Coturnix japonica: one gene and its partners. The protein of the gene in region 3 interacts with the protein of the main gene of each other region in a pairwise test. Links are inferred from orthologs where the notes say so. Each region holds a gene or a part of one and is shown on either strand. Other genes may lie near its edges.

Region 1 (6,833 bases), on a different chromosome or scaffold from region 3:
TAATATGCGTTAGATGTGAAATCTTAACTGGTGTGAAGCTGCTAAAGAAATGCGTTGTTGTGAAATCCTTTCCATCATCACACCAAACTACACGGCCCTGTGGGGATGTTTTCTTTCATTGGTTTAAAAGAAAAAAAGTCCTTTTGTGCCTCTTTATTTCTAAGCCGCTCGGGTCTGTTTGCTGTTCGTACTCTGCTCCTTCCTGCAATCCAAGCATCCCTTTGCAGTGTAGGAGAGGCAGCCGGGAGCTGGGGATCTTTTTCTTGTCTGTTTTTTAAACACTAGTGTGACAAGTGCTTGTACATGAAAAGCAGTGCTGCGCTTTTGGGACTAGCATGGATGATAATTACTGCTCGTTTTTAACTTAACTGTGATATGGGTGAAGTCACAATGCCAAGGAATACTTGGCTGCCATGATCCCAAATGCTGGTTAAGCACAGCTGTGACTGTGTCAGTGGAGCGTGTTGTTTGTTGTTTTAATCTATGTGCTTGTAGGATTGAAAGCAATCAGAATAACGTGTTTATAAGCAATACTTCTTGCCACAGCTCAAGCCTCCCCTGTAGTGTGCATTGCCTGATTACAAGTATGTCTAGGGATCAGCTGCGTGGTGCCTCCTTTGGCATTCTGCAGAGCAGGTCTAATGAGTTGGGGCTGTCTCTTAGTGTACTATGAAGAATGTATCGAGGCGTTCTCTGAACTACTTGTTGCTAATACATTACTTTCAAGTATCTAGATTTAATGTATCAGAGGAGTCATCTTCCTTCCGTGAAGAAGCTCCAAAAAAGAAAGAAAAGCTGTGTGGGAGGTGGAGGGGAGCATTCCTGTGCAGTGCTGTAAGATTTGAAGGCTTGCCATCAGTGTCCAACGCTGTGTTCAGGTAGTCCAACTCAGTAATCATGCACCGACTGACAAACCCATGCCTGCAAAGCCCATTGTGAGTGGGAATAGTGTTTTCCGATTCTTTGTTTTGTATGGAATGAAATCTAATATACCGATAAGCTCCAGCAAATGTATCTGTCTTATGTTCTGTTATTATTGCTTAAGACTGGTAGTGTAGCAGCGGCATGCAGCATTAGACAGGACATAAAGATGCTTCTCATAAGCGAGTCTTACTCACGTGGGTATCTCAGGTGAATTCCTGGTACATTGCCATAGCTTGTGCTGTGTTTTTCCAGCTGATTCTTCTGATTTTACGTTTCTGTGCTTCATTAAAGTTGCAAATTTTTGTTAGTGCAGAGTGGAATGTGGTGCAACGTTTGATATCAAATGGAAACATTGCATGAGATTAATATAGACAATTATTACATGAGATTAATATGGACAGGGAATTAGTTTAGCTTTTCTACTTTATCAGCTTCGTAGTACTGAGCATGTGGCAAGTTTTGTTAGAGCATAACGTCTGTGGAAATGGTGGGGGGAAAAATTAACTTCACATGCTTGGAAATGTGACCGTTCATATCCTTGCTGCAATCACACCATGTTTGCTTCAAGTTGAGAGTAAGATTGTTGGTGGCGTTCTTTTAAATTCCAGTGTTACTTAACCGTTCAAACTATGTTGTCTTTCAAAACCAAACAACTGCAGATTGATACAATGCTTGGAGAGTTTCCATAGCGCTCATACTTGAAATAGCTGCAGCAGGGTTCAGCAGGAACTCGGTCACGTTCCATCACTGACATCACACTTCAGCTGCCTCTGACGTGGAGGAAGCTCCTCCTGCAGGCTGTTGTTTGCTTTGTGTGAGTCATCTCTTCTGACTTAAAGTGACTGAAATAGGAATATTTCTAGAGTGCCCCCAGAGAATTCCATTATTTGAGAACTTTGAAGATGAGGTGTTAATAGTGTGTAGGCTGTTCTGCTGTGCCTGTTTGAGTCTGGGCGGTGTTAATGTGCTAACAATAGGGTCCTTGTCTCCTTATTTTCGTGCCTTGGTATGTGAGAATTCTAAGGCCTCTATTCTCTAGAGCTGTTTTAATCAGTGGTGAGGTAAGGGTTGCTCTGAGGCCTGGTAATTTACACCTCCCCACCTGCTGTGTGTAACACCTACCCCACCATGTGATACTGAGACTGGAACTCCTGGCAGCGTTTCATTCAGTGTGCCCTCGCCTTCTTAAAATTGAGCCAGGTAAAGGAATAGTTTGAAGTGATGTTCATTGTCCATCAGTGACAGGATTGACAAAAATGCCACCAATTGGCTGCTCTGTATTTTGTAGTGAGGAGCTTATTGTCCTTCTAATTCTTCTACAAGCTGGAATCTTTCAGAAGCAGAGGCAAATCTTCTGAATGTTCTTGAGGGGCGGCTGGTTGCTCCCTTTTATTTCCTTCCTCCAGAAAGAAGCAGAATTGATATAAGAGCATCTCGTGAAAGTTTTACTGCACGGTTTGTACTGAACATCACCAGCTATTCTTTGTATCCATTGGGTCAAAGTGGCTTTTCATTTCTGTTCAGAACAACTAGGAATATGAGCAGTTCTGTCTTGCATATGTTAACCATAGCTCTGTATTAATGCATATGTGCCATTCTAAAGCTCTCTGTGACTTCTTTGAAGAATTGCAGGTCGCCACGTGCCATAAAAAGTCGGTTGTTCTCCTTTCTGTTCTTGAGCAGCCACCATCAGTGCTGGGCATCAGTTCTCCCCCTCACCCAGAATGTCTCTTACTTCATAAATAAATGTCTGAGAATCTGCAATTATTCTGGCACTAGTTTGTCACCCTAATGCCACGTTCCTGTGTTAGTGAGTGCTTTGATGTACATGGATGGAAACAACTTGTGAAAACTTTGGGGAGGAAAAAATACCACAATGCAAATAGGAGTTTTATGCCTCTACAGAATTGCTGTTTGTAGTTCTTAGTGCACTCTTAATTGCAAAACATTCAGAATATTTTTGTGCTTCAATTGTGTGTTAGCTTTCCATGTTAATAGGATGTATTTTGTTGTAGTTTGGAGCAGAATTTCGGCGGTTCTCTTTGGAGAGGTCCAAACCCGGGAAGTTTGAGGAGTTCTATGGATTGTTGCAGCATGTGCACAAGATTCCCAACGTCGATGTTCTCGTGGGATATACAGACATTCACGGAGATCTGCTGCCTATAAATAACGATGACAATTATCATAAAGCAGTTTCCACCGCCAATCCCCTACTCAGGATTTTCATTCAGAGGAAAGGTAAGTGTGCTTGAAGTGGGTAATTACTTGTTTATAATTATACTGTTTACTCGGTATGAGGAATGGAGTAAATGCCCCATTCCATTGGGTTGAATTCCACAACTGTAGATGATCAGATTTATTCACATCTCTCTTGCAAGAGTTTCCTCAGGCAGCCTGTTTATACTTCATGCATTTTGCTTGTGTTTAGTTTGGTTGGATAAAATCAAATCAAATCTATAGCAAATGCTTCTTTCTGATTTCATTTTGATGCAAATGAACTTTGAACTCAGGATTTATAGGGTTTTATGTCTGTGTGTTGGATGCGTTTGATTTAAAATTCCAGTCTTGATTGGACAAGGGGAAAGAAAAGCTGTTACAGGGTGGAAAGGAATCCTACTGCATAAATAAAGTGTTATGTGTCAGTATAGAGACTAACTTTTAATATGCTGCTTCTGTAACGCTTTCCTGAGAAAACAATGTGGAGTTTTCAAAATGGCAGTGATTTCTGTCAGCCAACCTCAAGTGTGAGTGCTGATTATTTTGTCAGTTGGCTTTATAAACTGCACGCATCCTAGGTCCAAGTTCTGTTGTCTTTTTAGTGTTTGCCTTCATTTGTGAAGCAGAATTCAGTTTTTAAGTTGTGTGTGTTTTTGTCCAGAAAGAAATATTCAGTGTAGAGATCTAAAGGGGGTGGGAGGTTGGGGAGTATGGAGTCCTAGGGATGTGACTTGAGATTTCTTTGTTCTCTGAATTAAAACAAACCTTACTGCTACACTAGTAGATTTTCTACTTAAATACAGGGTTGTGTGTATATGAATGTAACTGTGCAAATCCTGTGTTGACAAACAGTGAAGCGATTGTTCTTTAAGTAACACACCATGAGTTGCTCAGCTGCTTTGTAAAGATGTGTGCTGTTTCTGGCTGTTGCTTATCAACAGGTTTGTTTTCCCTAGAAAATACTTGGGCACCAGAAGCTTTTATTGACGTTCTCACTCCAAAGTAATAAACTCCACAACAAACAGTCTGACACAGAAGCAATATTCAAAAGCTGTGGCTGTTTGCCAGGTGCTGTTTCTGACAATGTGTTTGTTTTGTTTGTGTGGATCTTAATACAGTGAGGTCTGTGTGCTTTCATTTCTGTATTGCCAAGGAGATGAACTGTTAAGAGAATGTAAATGCAGAAAAGCTCTGATTCAGTTTAATCTCCTACAGTAGCCATATGAGGAGGACAGATAAGCCACTTTGTCAGACTAGGATTATTGAGGTTACATTTAACACCATATGGTTTTTAAATTGTTACTAGCGTTAAACACTTGATGCTAATTGTAACTGGTGTTACATCTACTATGCTTTGTTCTTCATACTTTTCAAAAGTTTGATGGATTATTATTACGTTTCTGGTGCAAGGAATTGAGAATAGAATTGATAGTAATGCACAACTAGAAATAAGATTAACCTAATTAATCTAATAATGTTAATAATGCTAGAACTGATTGTCAGAAAAAGCTCTATAGAAAATAGTCCCTGTCAAGAGGAACTATATAGTCTTCTGACTATGGAGTTCTAGGTGACAAGGAACCTAGACTGGCATCCAAATCCAGCACTGTACTGCATTCTGTGTTATTTGGTCACTTCTAACTGTGAATGAATCCATCAGCATCCTAGCTGTATAGAACAGGGGCCTTTACAGTGGAAAGCAAGGAAATATTTGTTATTTTTGATAACTTAGTTACAAATGAGGCTGAGCCGTTTGAGATCTATGTGCAGCAGTCTTACCATTTAGGTATGTATAGTCCATCTAACTGCACAGTTATTGTCTGTACATCTATGAATTTGAGAATTGAGTGTTTGAACTAATGCGTGCTATTAATGGGGCTGCTCTGATCTGCACTGCTCTGAAACTATTATTCACGATAAATAATTCAGTTAATTTTCTTCCTGTAAGGTTTGTTGTGGCTTCCATAAACTGTTGAATCACCTAAAGATTTTGCTGGAAAAATCTTTTTAAGATTCTTATAAAGCAAAACTTCTTTTCCTTATATTCCCAACAAGAATAGATGGGAATTGAAGATTTTTGGCCAAAAGTTATTGCTGGCTGGGAGGGGTGGCAGAACAGAGGAGGGAGTTTACATTGTTCTAAAAGACTGGAAACTTTATTATGTTCTCTTGCTGATCTAAAAGCTCATGTAAGGTATGAGTGAACTATGATAAAATGGAGCATAAATAACATTGAACCTGTATCCAAAGAAGGATTTAAGGTGTGGGAAGGAGAACAACAGGATTCTTTTGTAATGATAGCAGTATGTGGCAGTGGTGATGGTGCAAGTCTAACTTAAGGAGTTATGGCATGTCAGGGTAAGCAGCTTCTATCTGATGTTCACTTTTGACTGTTGATTTGTGAAAACTGGGAGGTTATGCATCCAAAGGACTTATGTTTACTGATTGATGTGGTAAGAAACCTGGATATCCCTTAATGAAATGAAATTATTCATCCTCTCAGGTTTTTCTAACTATAACTAGTGTTTCTGTAACACTTGTCTCAGCATTAAGTCTGAATTAGAACTTGTTGTAGCACAAGTTATGGCTATCAGTTTGTAGAAAAGTTGCATATTGGAATTTCATCTGGGAGTTTAAGAGATTAACAGGTACTGCTGACATCTGGAACTTAAACGTTGAACTGCTGTATCATAATTAAATCCAGATGTGTGGGAGTCGCTCTGTCTGTGGGAAAAGCCTTACTGTGAATAACAACAAGGGAGAGACAGTCCCCACAGACAATGAAGGGCAGCTGGGGGGTTGGTTGTGTTTTGAATACATTCTTCATAGAGACCAGAAGTCAGACCATGATTTCAATTTGGAATCCATAAAGATCACTTAGTGTTCTGTATTGTAATTTCATATTCCTGTGCATCATGCCCAGTGCATGGCTTTATAGAGTAGAAAGGAGGTTCTTAATTCACTTCTAGTTCTTAAGGTGAACTTCCTTTTTCCATGAAAAACAAACTTTTAAAAACAATTTTCCAGAGAAGATTCCTTCTGTTTGTGTCCAGTTTCTGAAAAAAACATGTGGGTTTGTTGTAATTTGGGCCTATTTAAGAGGTGATTTAATGGGCCTTATTTGAAAATGGTAAGTTGCGCGCTTATTCCAATATAATAATGATTTGGGGTTTGTGCAAATGGGAAGTTGCTCATTGTGAGTTACGTTGGTTTGCCAGGAGATGGGGAAACCATTGTGAGTGTCTTGAACTGATGTGAAACCAGATTTGACACTTGCAGGCAGTGTTAAATTCCCTGCAGTCCGTCCATACAGATCGGTGCCATCTTGAGTTTGAAACTGCAAGAAACAAATCACTCCACTTCTATGTGGCCGCTCTCCTTAATGTTATCTGCAGTTAATACCTTGTCCCTTGGCTTTATGCCCAAATATCTTTCCCTGTAGCTTTAAACTGATTAGCGAGGTGCCAGAACAAAGATGCCTTTGTACTCCAGAGTATTGCTTTAACTTCTCTGCTGCTGGACAAACTTTCTAAACAGTTGTGCTGTTTGGAAGAGATATGAGATATGGAGAGATGAGTTTTCTTCATTGACCTTGTTGTTTTTTTCCCCAGAAATTATGCAACTTCATAATGTTTGCACTAGTTTTGTGTTGTTAGGCTTTTAATTCTAGCTATGATACAAGAATCAAAGCC
Region 2 (7,261 bases), on a different chromosome or scaffold from region 3:
CCCCCTAGCACCTGTATCTTCTGTACCACCCTTCATGGAGGAGCCACAGATAGATGTTAGCTACCTTCAGATCTTTTCGGGCCAGTATCTGAAACCCACAAACACCACTCACACATCTGCACAGTTAGACTCTTGCTTGACTACTGGTCTGTGCTTTTCAGTGGCTTTTTGAAGTACCATTTTCCACATCACCATACAACAGAAGATATTTTTTCCCAGCCTGTTCCTTTGAAGTCACACTCTTTATCACCCGTCCCCCCCTCTGCTCCAGTGGCTTTCTCAATTAGGGTCACCAGCATAACCACCCTCTCTGCTTCAGCTCATGATAAATATCTTCAATCCCACAGTGCTGTCCCTACTTCATGCAGCGGCTGTTCACAACAAACACCTTAAAAGAAAGAAATATTTGCCTTACATGGCTGTTCTCCCCCTTCAGAAGGGAATCAATTCCAGTCTCCTAGTTTCAGGAATCTTGCTTGCAAAGGATGTGGAGCAAACTGGTCTTGTGTTTTCAAGAGCACTGCACAATACGCACTGCCAAGCCTTAGCACTAATACAGCACGGGAATCACACATCCATGGCATGCCACCATCAACACAAGGAGAAAAGGAGCAGCTGGCCCCTTGCCATCCACAGGACAAAGCAGCACTGAGTCAGGAGACCCGGTATTACACACAGCCAGCAGCACACAAGCCTGCAGGCAGACAGGCAGCCCATGCACTAGTGCAGGTCTCCAGCCAGAGCAAACTACTTTCCCACCATTTTCTAAGTAACGTAACCAGTAAGGGCTCTGGCTGGTAGCAAACGCATTTAAGACCCTTTTAGTTTTTGCCAGAGCTCTCCACAGCCACCAGCAGCAGCAGAGAAGCAACCTGACACACAGGCACACCTTACCAGACCTGACAGGGAAGCAGTAGGATGGCCCCAGGCTGGATGGCCTGGGGCTGGTACACCACACCCTGCCCCAGACATCCCTGCCTCAATTAACTGCAGGAATTTCCAATGGGAACGGCACTAAATGCTGCTGGGAGACCTTGCCTTCACTTCCAGGGAGGGAATGTCTCAGAAGGTACATTTCATCCTTAACTTCTGGCTGCATTGTAAATGTAATTAGGGGCAAGCAATCAATCTTTAGTAGAGTGTTTCACTTTAAGCGCACACAAAGGCATGATAAGGCACTACTGAGGAAAGCACTATTAATTGCAGCCCCAAAGAGCTCCTTAGAGGTGGCTGGTCCTGCAGGCTGCCAGACAGAGCCTCCACGAGGTATATTAGCCTCCAACAGGAGACATTCCTTTCTGACTCTGGCTGTAAACAGCTTTTCAACATTAAAGAGCAATCCCAGCAAATTAAAGGTCCGTTGTTCTGTGGCCTTTAGGACAGTTTCAGTGTGGCGAGACTGAAATCTAGAAGGCGACTCCATAAGACAGACTTGTTGGATGGAATTTCAAGCAGATCAGGAATTCCTAAGTCCCTAGGATAAAAGTGACCACAAAAGCAGGGGTGAGAACCTGGAGGTGGATTGAAGCACAGGAGAGTATGGGAAATACCATAACACAAGGCAGCAGGACAGTTCTCTTCAACGTTTCGAAGCTCAAAACCAGCAGTTCAAACACCTGGTCATAGGATTTTTCGCAGCACTTGTTTTCATTGCATTCTAGGTACGATAAATACGAACCTAACTTGGAAGAAACTAAAGTACTACTTAAAAACACAAACCTTTTTAAACATACAGGGTTTTCGGCTGAACACCAACATTCACTGGAACAAAGCAGAAATTAGGTGGGAGAAGAGAGCAAAGGAAATACAGTTATGGTTAACTAGTATGTTTATCTTAACGGGCTTGTTTACAGTAGGAGGATGTTAGTCACGTTGTTCATTTGTCTATCAGTTTGTAGTACAAGAAAACACGACACTATTAACATGGCAGCAGTGTCAAGGACTAGCACCAAGCATCCAAACCAGCACCTGAGTCAGGCAGCTGTACTTCCATAGTCCTCAACTACTGATCAGAGTTCTCAACAGCAGCTAAACAAGATGGCTTTTGTAAAGGATTATTTCTTTTCTGGCATCTAAGAGTGTGTTTTAAAACCTGAAAAAGAATTCTTATCAGTATATACAACTTAGAGAAAATAAAGCAATTTTTCAATTGGAGGAGGGTGAAAGAAGATGGACTACACAGAGCTGTAATTAAAGAGGAAGTCTCAGTATTAATGCAGGAATTCCTATTTTATAAGTCCTGGTTCTTCTATAGGTTTACATTCACAAAGAGAGGGGCCTTCAACCTCTCAGTAAAGCTAGAGAAAAACGAAGACTAGAAGAATAGGTTTGTGATCTAGTGCCAACAGGAAGGATTCTTAATAAAACAAGAATCCCCACGCGTTGTTTGCTCTGGAAATCTTGGTAAATGGGAGAGAAAGAGTCATCTGGAAACCTTTTTTTAGAGATTAGAGGTGATTTCTTCAAAGGGAGCAGCCACACCACTTGTCACCAGACTGGGCAAGTATGAGACATAGGAGAATACACGGCTCTTTCAGGCCTGCAAGATAAAGTGGCTTCAGATCCTGTCTAAAAAGGCTGAAACATTTATTTTGAGCGACAGGGACAACACCTAGATAACAACTGAGCTTCTAATTTACACTGTTGAGAAACACTCGAGAAGAGAAAAGGGAGAAGACATAATTACAATTCAATTATTATTTTCCTTTGACATGTGCCAATTTCTAAGCAGGTTTCTCCTTCCTCTCCCACCCAGCAATAAGCTTGCAAGTGCTTTGATTATAAGGCCGGCTTCAGGGGCGGAGATGGGGGCAGGACAGGCCTGAAGGAAGACGGCTCCCTAAAGCACAAGACTCTGCAATTGCAATTACAGTTACTGCCATGTTTGAGAGCAGACACATGCACAGGGCTCATATTCCCTCCTCCCCTTCGGGACCTACTGCAACTCAGTGACCAGGAGACTTCTAAAGCACCTTCCATCTGCCCAGAGAAAAAAAGCTGGCCTGATGCACAGCGGAAGCCATTTCCACATGGCGGCCTAACGCATTACACACTTAGCTGGGTGTAGGCAGGAAATCACCTGGCTATCACACCATAGGCTAAATAAATAAATAAATAGAATTTTAAAAGTCAAGCTTGCAGCCTGTACGACTCCCCACAGCTCCTCCAGGTCTGACTCAACCCACAAGGAAAGGAATGCCCCGCTCCAAGGCAGTGCTTCCACTGGGCCCCTCCACCACAAAGCCCACCCCAGCCCTATGAAGCCCCCCAGCTGGTGGCTGCAACATGGTGCCCAGCAGCACCCAGCCAAGGCCCGACAGGCACCAACCAACAGTACGCAGACTCAACTTTCTGGTTTTCTGGCAGGCTGGGGCAGGCCTCGTGCTTGCAAAACAGAGGCAAGTAAGTACGTAGGTGCTCCCAACAGCAGTTGGAGTCTAGTCCTGCACAGCCCCTCATGTAGCAGCACCGACCAGAGCTTCTTGCTGGCTCTATCCCTACCACAGGACAGTGCTGTAAGAGGGACCCCATGGGCTCTATGCACAGCAGGAGTGAGCACCAAGTAGCTCCTTCTCACTGCCCACACAGTGTGTGCTCACAGCCCCCTAACGCCCTGCACCTACACAGGGCAGGGTGCAGGACCCTATGGACCGCTGCAGCTGTAAACAAGGCTCCGAGCCTTTATTATAGGACTCTTTTAAAGCTGTTATTAAGGCAATGGATACGTTAAGTTGAAGGAAGAGTGCACACATCCATTCTTACCAACAGCCAGTACTCCAGACCGGAGCTTATGTGTTTCGAGCACCACTCAGCACTCACAGAACAGGACCACAACTCGCCATGAGCGCAGGGGCCGCATCCCAACCCGGGAGCAGCTCAAGCCCGGCTGTGGGAGCAGGACGGACATCAGTAACCCCGCATCATTTATTTCAGTGGCACTGAGGAGCCGAGGAGCCCGTGCAGCTCCCCGCGCTGCCCCGCCGAGAGAGCGGCCGGCGGCGAAACAAAAGATCGAGCGGCGGCCACGGGCACGGGGCCCCTCGCGCCCGCCCGCACCGCCGGGAACGGAGCCCTCGAGTACCCGCCCTCAGCACCCCGGGCCGTACGGCGAGGCCGCGCTCACCTTACTCTTCACTTCCACCGCGCTGCATTCCAGATACCGCAGAGTCTGAGATTTGTTGAAGCTCCGGTTCATCTTCCGCGCCGCTGCCGCCCCCCCCGTCTTCTCCTCCTCCTCCTCCTCCCCCCGCCGCCCCGCGGCGCCCAACTCCGCTCCGCTCCACGCCGCTACGGACACTTTGTCCCGGCGCGCCAATGAGAGCGGCCGCAACACCGCGATCGCGATCCGGCTGCCGACAGCAGCGCGGCCCCGTCCGCGGCGGGGGGACGGGAGGACACGCCCACTAACCGCGTGGCCGCGCCCACTCGGCGCTGTGTGCCCGCCCTCATGGTGTAGGGTGGCGGGCAGCGGCTGTTTGATCCCATTGGGACCTACTGCAGTGATAGCATTGAGCTTAGTTTGGCACTAATAGTTCCCCTGTCCTATCACTCTGTGTGCCCCGGTGGCGCAGTGGTAGGAATGCTGCTTTGCAACACCGCAGGCCCTGAGTTCGAATCCCCCTTTGGCGCAAGTGGTAGAAGTGCCGCTCTGCTACACAGAGGCTCGAATCCCGGGGGTTGGACTCGATGATCTCTAGGGTCCCTTCCAACCCGCACGAGACTGTGATACTATGATCACTGTCCTAACACTGCTGAAGAATCCGTCCCCTTCTTTCTCACTGCTTCCCCCTTCTGATAGTAAAAGGCCACTCTCGGGTCTCACCTGATTCGTTGCCACAGACCATTGGGATTAACACAACCTTCAAGTTGCTATAGCTCAAATAGCACGGCAGAGTTTCCCTGAATATTGTATGATTTATGGCTTGATAGTAAGATTATAGATTGACTTACAATAAAGAGGGAAGGGAAAAGGGAAGGGAAAAGGGAGGGAAGGGGAGGGAGGGAAGGGAGGGAGGGAGGAAAGGAAGGAAGGAAAGGGGAGGGAAGGAGAGGAGAAGGAAAGGAAAGGGGAAGGGAAGGGGAGGGAAGGGGAGGGAGGGAGGGGAGGGAAGGGAAAAGGGAGGAAGGGAGCGAAGGGAGGGAGGGAGGAAAGGAAGGAAAGGGGAGGGAAGGAGAGGAGAGGAGAAGGAAAGGAGAGGAGAAGGAAAGGAAAGGAGAAGGGAAGGGAAGGGAAGGGAAGGGAAGGGAAGGGAAGGGAAGGGAAGGGAAGGGAAGGGAAGGAAGAAGCTGAAATGTGGGTTTTGGTCAGTTTCTCATCTAAATACTCAAGAGGTTTTCAGCCTGATGTGGGATGCAGCAAACTGGAACGAACAACCTGAGGCCATTCCTTCTCATGCTATCACTATTACCAGGGATAAGAGGCTGAGCCCCCTATCTAGCTATTAGGTTAGGAAAAATGTTATCAGATGACTTCTTAAGTCTGTTCTTTGCAGGATTTCTCTGGCAGATCCACTACAGCAGTTACCATATTAAGATAAAGATAGATAGAAAGGTGTGGCTCCTGATTAATAATAATGATAAAAACCAGTTGGAGGGAGAGCTCACACTTATTCATGCAGCAAAATCCCTCCCATGTTAGCCAGACCACTGCACATAGCTGTACCAGGCGGGGGTCACCTGATCCCATCAGAGTTAGTCCATGGACAGGCACTGTGCAGCTCTTAATCAGCAGGAATGGATGTAATCTCTTCCTCACCCACCTGATCTACAAAGAGGTTTGCCAAGAAGCTGCTTATTGCGTTACATATTTGTTTCCAGGCTGCATTCACGCCCTGTAAAACACTGAAGTTTTGGAATGCTTGTGCACAATCGATCCTTTCCAGAGCTTTCAGCTAGGGCACAAGTTCCCAGAGTCCTTCAAAGCAGCTGCTCAGAGCTGCACGGAGCATGAGACGCATTAAATCCTCCTTCCCACAGGCTTAGGGCCAGATGCTCAGCGGGTGCAAAGCAGCAGAGCCTCACTGCAGCTCTTTGGGGGCCCTAAGCCTGTCAGCAGTGTGACTTCCCCTGGCCTCTGTGGATGAGGGGTCTATATTTGTAACCTCTGGCCTAGCCTCCATCCTGCGCTGCCATCCTCAGTGACTTGAAAGGGGAAGTGAGACATTAAGGACTGCTGTGTCAAGGTGCTGGAGAGAGCCAATTTGACAGAATACTCCTGAATGTGTTTCTGCATCCCAGCGTCCTGAAATCACCACAGGCTGTGTGTTTTGTGGCAGTAACACAGTGTCCTTCCCCCATTTCTGCTGCTAGCAGAAACAGGATCCTTATATATCTGCTTTCGGCCCTTTGCACCTTCTTTATATCAAGAAGTAAGAATACTTCACTGCAAAAATGATGTCTCTATGCTTTGTTTCCTTCGTAATTCGTGTCTTCCTCAAGCATGTGTGAGGATTACATGTGGGACTGTGGATTTCAGAACCCGGCCTTTTGGCCATTTTGATAATATCACGGGAGGAAAACTCTTTCCCAGAACCAAACAATTTTATTGCATTCCAGGATCATGTGCAAAACAGTGATCCCATCTGTTCAACAGCAGTCCCCCTAAGTACAGGGCTGCCTCTCGCTCACCAGTTCAGGCAGTTCAACAAAGCAGTCTCAGTTTTCAATGACAAGTTTTTCTTCTAAATACAAAACACCAGTAAGGACAGCTTGATAATAATTCATGTATCTGACAAGGTGTATCTTCTTATGTACTATTTTGACTAGTATGGACCCTGCAGAGCGGTATGGCACAACAGCACTTCCTCCTAGATTTAGGCATCTTTGAGATCAGTATTACCAGTTCCTCTAAATATACAATAAATGAATAAGCAATAACAATGTTAACCTCAAATTCGAGAGACTAAAACTGGAATTCCTAGTTTATTTGTTTTTTTCCCTGGGTCACCTTCAAGACCTTTTGATGATCTCTCCACCTGACTGCTCAAGATTCCCTCAATAGCTCTGGAAAATCTAAAGTTTAGTTCTTGTGCTTTTCCTTTCAGCAAGTGATCTGCAAAACAAAATGTGATTTTGGCAGATGCTTGCCAATGGAAAGAGATCACTGTTTGGCTGGAAGGTTACTGTATGTTTCTGTGGCCTTGCTGGTGCACATGCTGCACCTCCAAGCAGGGAGCAAATGCCCACCCAACCTGTTTTGCCCCAGCTCATTCCCAGTCCTTTCTCTGCAGTTAGAACAGCCGGGGAATACTGATGTCTCTTG
Region 3 (6,833 bases):
ATGAAAAGAAGACTCCAACTCCTTTTCAGCCAAGCAAGCAAAAATAATAGGAAAAATATGGAATATTTCTTCAAAGTAAAGAGGCAAGAGAAACTTAAGTGATTTCTGCATGAGTAGTGCTGTAGACTGTGCCAATTACAACAGTGATGCTGGTTGAAGTAATGGAGCTCTTGACAAAAACCACTAGCATGGGATGACTTGCTGTAAACTACGCATCTGTCAACGCAGATCTCAAAAGCAGTCATCTGTCTTATGAACTTCTTGTAATGCATTTCCAAGTAGCTGAATGTTTAATGCATAGGTTTTAATTCATGATGCAGACACAGATGTCTGGCTTCCCCTTTGTAACAGGTATTAAAGCTGTTCAAAAGAGTTGGCTGAGTTATTAACAAAGAGCTTACCTACCTCATCATCATTGACGAGTTCTTTCTTCACCACCTTCATTGCATAAATGCGTTCTGTTTTCTTCAATCGAACAAGCAATACTTTAGCATAACTGCCTCTTCCTATAACTCGGAGCAAATCAAAATCCTGAAGACCCAGGCTGGAAGAAGCTTTGCCACTTTCTCTTATGCCCATTGCCTACAGATAGAGATACTTCTGAGTTCATGAACAGGCTTGTCAATTTTAACGACTGTAGTTGCTATTCTTTAAAGACAGTTAGCACTTCAAACAGAATAGAACAATAAAAACACAAGTGATTCAATGAACACTTGCAATTCTTAAACTGCACTGCCAGGAAAAGGAACAGAAGGGAAAGGGAAGAAGGCAGAACAAACAGGACAGATGAAAAACAAATGAAACTAGAAGAATTTGGAAAACTTTCTAAATCAAAGCACATCTCAACCCAGGCTTTAAAAACAATCAGCTTGAAAGACACACATGCGACCACCGAGTGAGCAATCCAAACATGCTCTATGTACTGGTTTTCATTTTGTGACAAGTTAAATTACTAAAGCAATAAAATAAAGAGTGCCAGAGTTGAAGATCGCTGAACACAATTAGTGTGGTTAAGATACTTCACCTCTTTTTCTTCACCAACATGGTCTAAGCTCTCATGACTCGATGGATTATATGGAATCACTAGAGATGCAAGGAAAACAATTAGATCCATGGAACACAACTCGATTTTCTTTCTCTTAAAAATTTCCACTCGTTAGTTGAATCAAGGAGAAACAGCTTAAATGTACCTATTATATGCTTTCAAAACTGGTATTTTTTGTTGTTGTTTTTAAGCTAGCAAAATCATTCTTTTGCAATACTGCAATAACAACTGTTATGGCTTATATAACGTTGTGATTATATTTGGAAATCTATTTAGACTCTCCTTGACACACTGTATCTTGTGCCAAATAACATTTGTTGTTGTTTAACAAATCACTGTCCATTGAAACTGAAACACCAGGAAATCTTGTTTAATTTTTTTCCACTGTAACTTTGTTTACTGCCTTTTTGTTTGCTTAATGATGTTTAAAGTACACTCCTTACTGATGGAAAAATCTAAGTATCAGACTCGATTCTTTGCAACGGTTTGTCAAACTGCAAGACGCAGGAAATAGGAGATTTTATATTTAAATCCCCCTTAGTTTTTAAAGCAGCTGTCCTCTTTGTCTTGCCCAACAAAAAGAAGTAAAGCAGAATTCTTAAAGCAATTTGCTTAAAGTTATTCTGTTTCATATTAAAACCCATGTTCATGTTTCAAAGGGAAGCACTGATCTTACCTGATTCTACGTTATCCGGATGCACCGATGGATCCATAGGCATTATTGGTTCCTGCAAATTTGCACAACATTTGTTTAACAGATTGTGAAAAGCATTTGAGAGACAATAAAGAATCTCTGAGAAATATAATCTGTTTTAGATGAATCCACATAACTACTGCTCTAGTCCATACAGTATAAAAAGAATCACCATAGACCTTATTTTTCCTGCTTTCCAGAAGTTATGGCAAGTTGCTAGAAGCTATTGAAGAAAACTTCATACAGCAAGGAGAAGGTAGTAGATTAGATGCAAAATGAGACAGAAAATTGCACATACTTCAGCAGCTTTATTATCCAAATAAATTTATGAAATAAAGACTTCCAGCTGTCCATTTTTAAACATTAAACTGCAAGTGGTATTTACATATTGCTTTTTGGGGACTTGAGAACTAAAGATGATTGCATCACTTAGGAGGAGGTCAGAACTATTGTGCCTTGCCTTCCTTTTCTATCAAACAAAATAGTCTAATAATCTAACAGATGTTTAGAGAATTTACTTGTATGTCACTCTGAATATGTGAAATGTAATATATGTACACGTTCATATAAACACTATGTAACTACATGTCATATTTACCTTGCTTTTCACCATCTGACACAGAAATAGACAATCTATACAAGAATTAAGACCTTCTTGTTACTGAAATGCTATTTTGCTAAGCATCTCTTCTATTTTCTTGTCATGTAATGCAGTAGCCATAAAGAATGACAGCCTTTTTAAGCTTTATCTACTGTGATTGTTTGCTGAGCATAGTCTGAAAGCCATTTAGTATGAAACAAGCTCCTTTATTTCATTTATTGTTGCTTTTTAAGACAACATTTCAGATAAACCGTACTTACTGGTTGTAGTGTATGACGACCACAGTCAGTATTGACTAGTTTGTGACACTTCTTGTGAACAAGGAGTTTGCAGTTGATGCATTTATACCCCTGGCGACCCAGGCCCCATATTCGGTCTGAGCAGATGGCACAGTGAGCTCTCTAGAAGAATAAATCAATAAAACTGATTAAAAGCAAAGCTAAATAACAGAAACTATTCAGCCACGTTCCCATTACTGAAGAACAGAGGATAGGAGATCAGAAAAACCCCTACTCAAGTTGCTACTGTACCTGAAAAGCCTATGACAGAACTTTAAGATAGAACAAGCAGATACAACACAGAAAAGCCCAAGAATTACAAATGAACAATAAGCAGCGACTGCTTATCAGAAAGAGCACATTTACATGGGAAGGTGCAGGCACAGTCAGCCTCTTCTGCTGCACGTGGACCCAGAGAGATGGGTGTCAACTGCAGGTCAAAAGCAGTGCAGATGAATAAGCAGGCTCCTGTGACCAAGCTAGTTTGCTAGGTCTCATTATCTTTATGTAGGGGAGTCCTTAGATTTGAAGAGAGAACAGCAGGAAAGCAAAAGCTTCAACATAGATAAACCACCAGCTAAGAGGAAATGGGAAGATCACCACCCACTGAAGGACACTCATAACTCAAAAGAACCATGAATGCAGGGCACCAACAAAAGCAAGTGGGATGGTGCCTTCAGCCTTTGACCGGGAAGAGGTCAATGAATATTTCCTAGAGCATTGCTTATGTAAAAAATATTAAATGAATAATGCTGAAGACGAAGTTTAGTGGAGATCATTTTGAGAGTTACTTAAGCACGTGATTCACAGCTTAGAGAAAAAGGAAAGAATACTGAAGCTGTCAAGGAACCTTGCTTATTCAATTCTTATTTTATCTAATTTTTCAGATACAAGCCGCAGATAGCTCTCTTGATTCTCAATCGTCTTTGGCTATTGCTTATTGAAAGTATTAAAACTGGCCAGTTATTTTCAATTGTTTCTACGCCATCATAAGCAGATGCTAGAGAAACATCTCAGGTTTTGTTTAAGTCGTGAAGGAAAACTGTGCATCATAAGCAACTCGACGTATGCTTAAACAACTGCAAATGCACTTTCAGTTCAATCATCTAATGCCAGTGTTAAAGTCTGCCCTCCCCGGAGATTTTAAGGGAGCACCAGAACACTTCCGTGACAGCATAGTTACAGAGTACACTGTAAAGTGAATTGCAACTATTTATGTTTTTATGAGCCTAATTTTATATGGATAAAGTTTCCTGAAACTACAGTTACCAGCATCTAAGAACTACAGGCAGTCAACAGCAATTAGAATAAATCTACCTTTTTATTTTTTTCAAGGCAGTAACATTAAAATTATAAAAGTAAGACAACCCTGGAACATGGTTTTAAGTACCCAACAAGAGTCTCACCCTGTTAAATCGTTTGGCTTGGAAAGTGTGACCATTTGCACAATAGAGCTTTCGCCACCGGCGGGCGCCACGGCGATAAATGGATTCTAAGAGGAAAAACATACAATTATATCCATAAAAGATATAAATACAGAACTACAGTACTTTCTTACTGGTGCTTCTGTGTACAGTGATTTGCAGAGTAAAGTTTCATTCCTGCAGCCTTATAGAAACACAAAGTATTTTCTTCATTTTTCCAATTTTGGAGAAAACATCAAGCAAAATACTCTGACCATCTGAAAGTTAATTCTGCCTTTCCAAAGTTAAAAGGCGGAGTGAGTCAAAAGGAGGAAAACTGTCCAAACAACACAAGCACTTGTTTGCAAAACATGCACATACCTTACTTAATTCAAGGAGGAGCTGTGGGAGGGAGGGAAGAAGGTCCATTTCAGGAGCATGTCCTGTTATGGCTGCATGCACAAACCCTCCAGTATCTTAGGTCCACAGCTGCCACCATTTTCTGACTGTTTGTTTGTCTCATTACAGGCATTTCAGGACCCAAAACTGAAAACTAGAATATGCAAAACTACCTCAAGTTGCAAAGCTATTTCAGATGTAGCCTAGAACCTTTCTTTCTCCCCTTCAGAAAGGCAGCATTAATCCTACTGCCATAGTTAACATTTAAGCATGCACACTGACATTTGTCAAGAACTTGGATATCAAGCTGACAGACGTGTGCATGCATAGCATACCCATCATCTTTTATAAGATGAATAACAACAGCATAGAAGCCTACATTAAACATATGGAAAATCACCTCTCATGGTTAGTACATTTACCAGCATGACAAAGGTGTTCACAAAATATTCCTGATTTTACCCAAAGGTTGGTCTGAAATTGATTATTTGACACCTCATTACAAGTGGTTACAAGTCTTTGTTCACATCAGTCAGCGAGCAATCTGGCAACTACTAGAGACAGGAACAGAATGGAAAACTGCCATGGAAGAGGCAAAAGCAAGGAAAGCAGAGACACGTGGAGAGTTAACAGAAATACAAAAATGCTTTATTAACAATGACTCAGAAATGACAAACAACATTCCTTTTTAATATTTAAGCTGTAGAGATTCGTGTTATTAATAGTCATAAGCACAGGAAATCAAACAATAGAGTATCAACTTTTTCTAGAATACACATTACTTATTTTAAGTATGCCCAAATGAAGATGCCTACTTACTGTCTTCTCCTGGGCAAGGCATGCCAGGCCGTTCCGGTACACAAGGGAACACTGCAAGAAAAATATCAGCTTCTTATTAATCTGTTTCATACAGAAGACAATTCTTTGGGTTAAATACAACACCTACATAGTAAAAAGGCAACAGAAAATTGCTAAAATGCATTCTAACAGCAAGCAAGAAAAAAAGATGCCACAAAACCCTGTACTGGACATAACAGTGATCCAAGTGTGAAATGCAACTGGACAGCGGAGTAAGGTAACTTGTGTAAAGATGCTGGCAACAAGTAGTGAGGCTGGTTTCTCAATTGTCCAATCACTGCAGTGGGTATTTGGAAATCTGGACTGTAGGTGAAGCACATTACAGTGTTCCAGAACAGCCAAGTATGATTTTGCCTACATTAGTTCTTTGTTTCCAGTGTATTTAGCTGCAGTAGGAAAAGAAAACTTGGGAAAGTTAACCCTGGTGCATATTTATTGAGAAGCCAATCAAGCAGAAGTAAATGGAGACAAGACAGATCAAAAAGCAGAATAATAAAAAACAGAGATACACATATAGGAGCAGATGAAATCATTTTTACATCTTTTTTCCTTTCTTAATTCCATAAAGAACACTGACAAGTACTGACAGCTAAAAAGGCTGACGTCGTCTTTGGCATCCTCTTGACAGGCAGCCACAATAGACTTTAACTGAAGAAGACAGAGTAGTGCAAAAGACACTGATAACATGAGGAAAAAATTCCTGTTCTCCGTAGGTGCAAACATTAGAAGTAATACATTAAATTTTACTGTACCATGAATTAGAAGTTCTGAATCCTTGTTTAGTTCATACAACCGAAACGCCTCTTCTAACTCCAGCTGTGAAGAAACAGTACATGGGTCTCCTGAAAGAAGAAAACATCACAAAACTCGGTCTAATTAGTTCCGTGTGGTTCAGCAGCTCCCTCGCAGTTGTTCCTAAGATAATTATTGTATCAAACCAAAGCAATACCCTCGGCGTGGTAGCGTTTCTGTCATTTTTCATCATATTGCACATCACTGTCCCATTGGACAGACTTGGCACTCAGCTGCCTACCCACCCCATAAACACAAAGTGAAGAGTGTGGAAGGAGCAGGAACATCCCTATTCATTCAGACTCACTGTGAACCAACAAACCAGTTTTTCTTCATTTGTTTTTGACACCTGTGCAAACAGCTTGTTTCTTTCTGACAGAAGAAAGGGAGGCTCACAAAAGAGCATAAGCAGTGCTTCAGATTGCACACAACGTTTACAGACTAGAAAGGAACCTTCATAATTAAATCTGACATGTGCTTTTTCAAATTGGTGACCACAAGTTAAAAACACAATGCTCTACACCTGCAACAACTCTTGTGTTGTTGTGTACTTGTGTACATAGCTTGGGAAAGCTGGTGATAGCAGAAGAGAAAACCTGCTCAGATTCTGAAGACCACGCAAAGTGTTTGACACAACTGATCACATAGCACATCCAAAAGCAACTTGAGTCCCTGTTTAGCTTTGAGCTCTCAATAAATTGGCACTCACCCAATTCTGAATAAGAAATCTGTGGCAAGGGGAGGAAAGAGGCCTATAAGCACC

The links.
Region 1: the proteins of PRKCI (region 3) and PARD6B interact in binary tests that used the Homo sapiens proteins (3 or more experiments, as listed by UniProt). The link is inferred for Coturnix japonica from reciprocal best matches to the Homo sapiens genes PRKCI and PARD6B.
Region 2: the proteins of PRKCI (region 3) and PARD6G interact in binary tests that used the Homo sapiens proteins (3 or more experiments, as listed by UniProt). The link is inferred for Coturnix japonica from reciprocal best matches to the Homo sapiens genes PRKCI and PARD6G.

The regions. Positions count from the first base shown.
Region 1 is NC_029535.1:12,087,377-12,094,209, reverse strand, and holds part of PARD6B (partitioning defective 6 homolog beta), read left to right. Parts: intron 1-2,939; coding exon 2,940-3,162; intron 3,163-6,833. UniProt on the Homo sapiens protein: Adapter protein involved in asymmetrical cell division and cell polarization processes. Probably involved in formation of epithelial tight junctions.
Region 2 is NC_029517.1:80,910,382-80,917,642, forward strand, and holds the start of PARD6G (partitioning defective 6 homolog gamma), read right to left. Parts: upstream 4,240-7,261; 5' UTR 4,196-4,239; coding exon 4,124-4,195; intron 1-4,123. UniProt on the Homo sapiens protein: Adapter protein involved in asymmetrical cell division and cell polarization processes. May play a role in the formation of epithelial tight junctions. The PARD6-PARD3 complex links GTP-bound Rho small GTPases to atypical protein kinase C proteins.
Region 3 is NC_029524.1:17,532,202-17,539,034, forward strand, and holds part of PRKCI (protein kinase C iota type), read right to left. Parts: intron 6,121-6,833; coding exon 6,031-6,120; intron 5,291-6,030; coding exon 5,240-5,290; intron 4,111-5,239; coding exon 4,025-4,110; intron 2,742-4,024; coding exon 2,601-2,741; intron 1,774-2,600; coding exon 1,722-1,773; intron 1,084-1,721; coding exon 1,025-1,083; intron 583-1,024; coding exon 406-582; intron 1-405.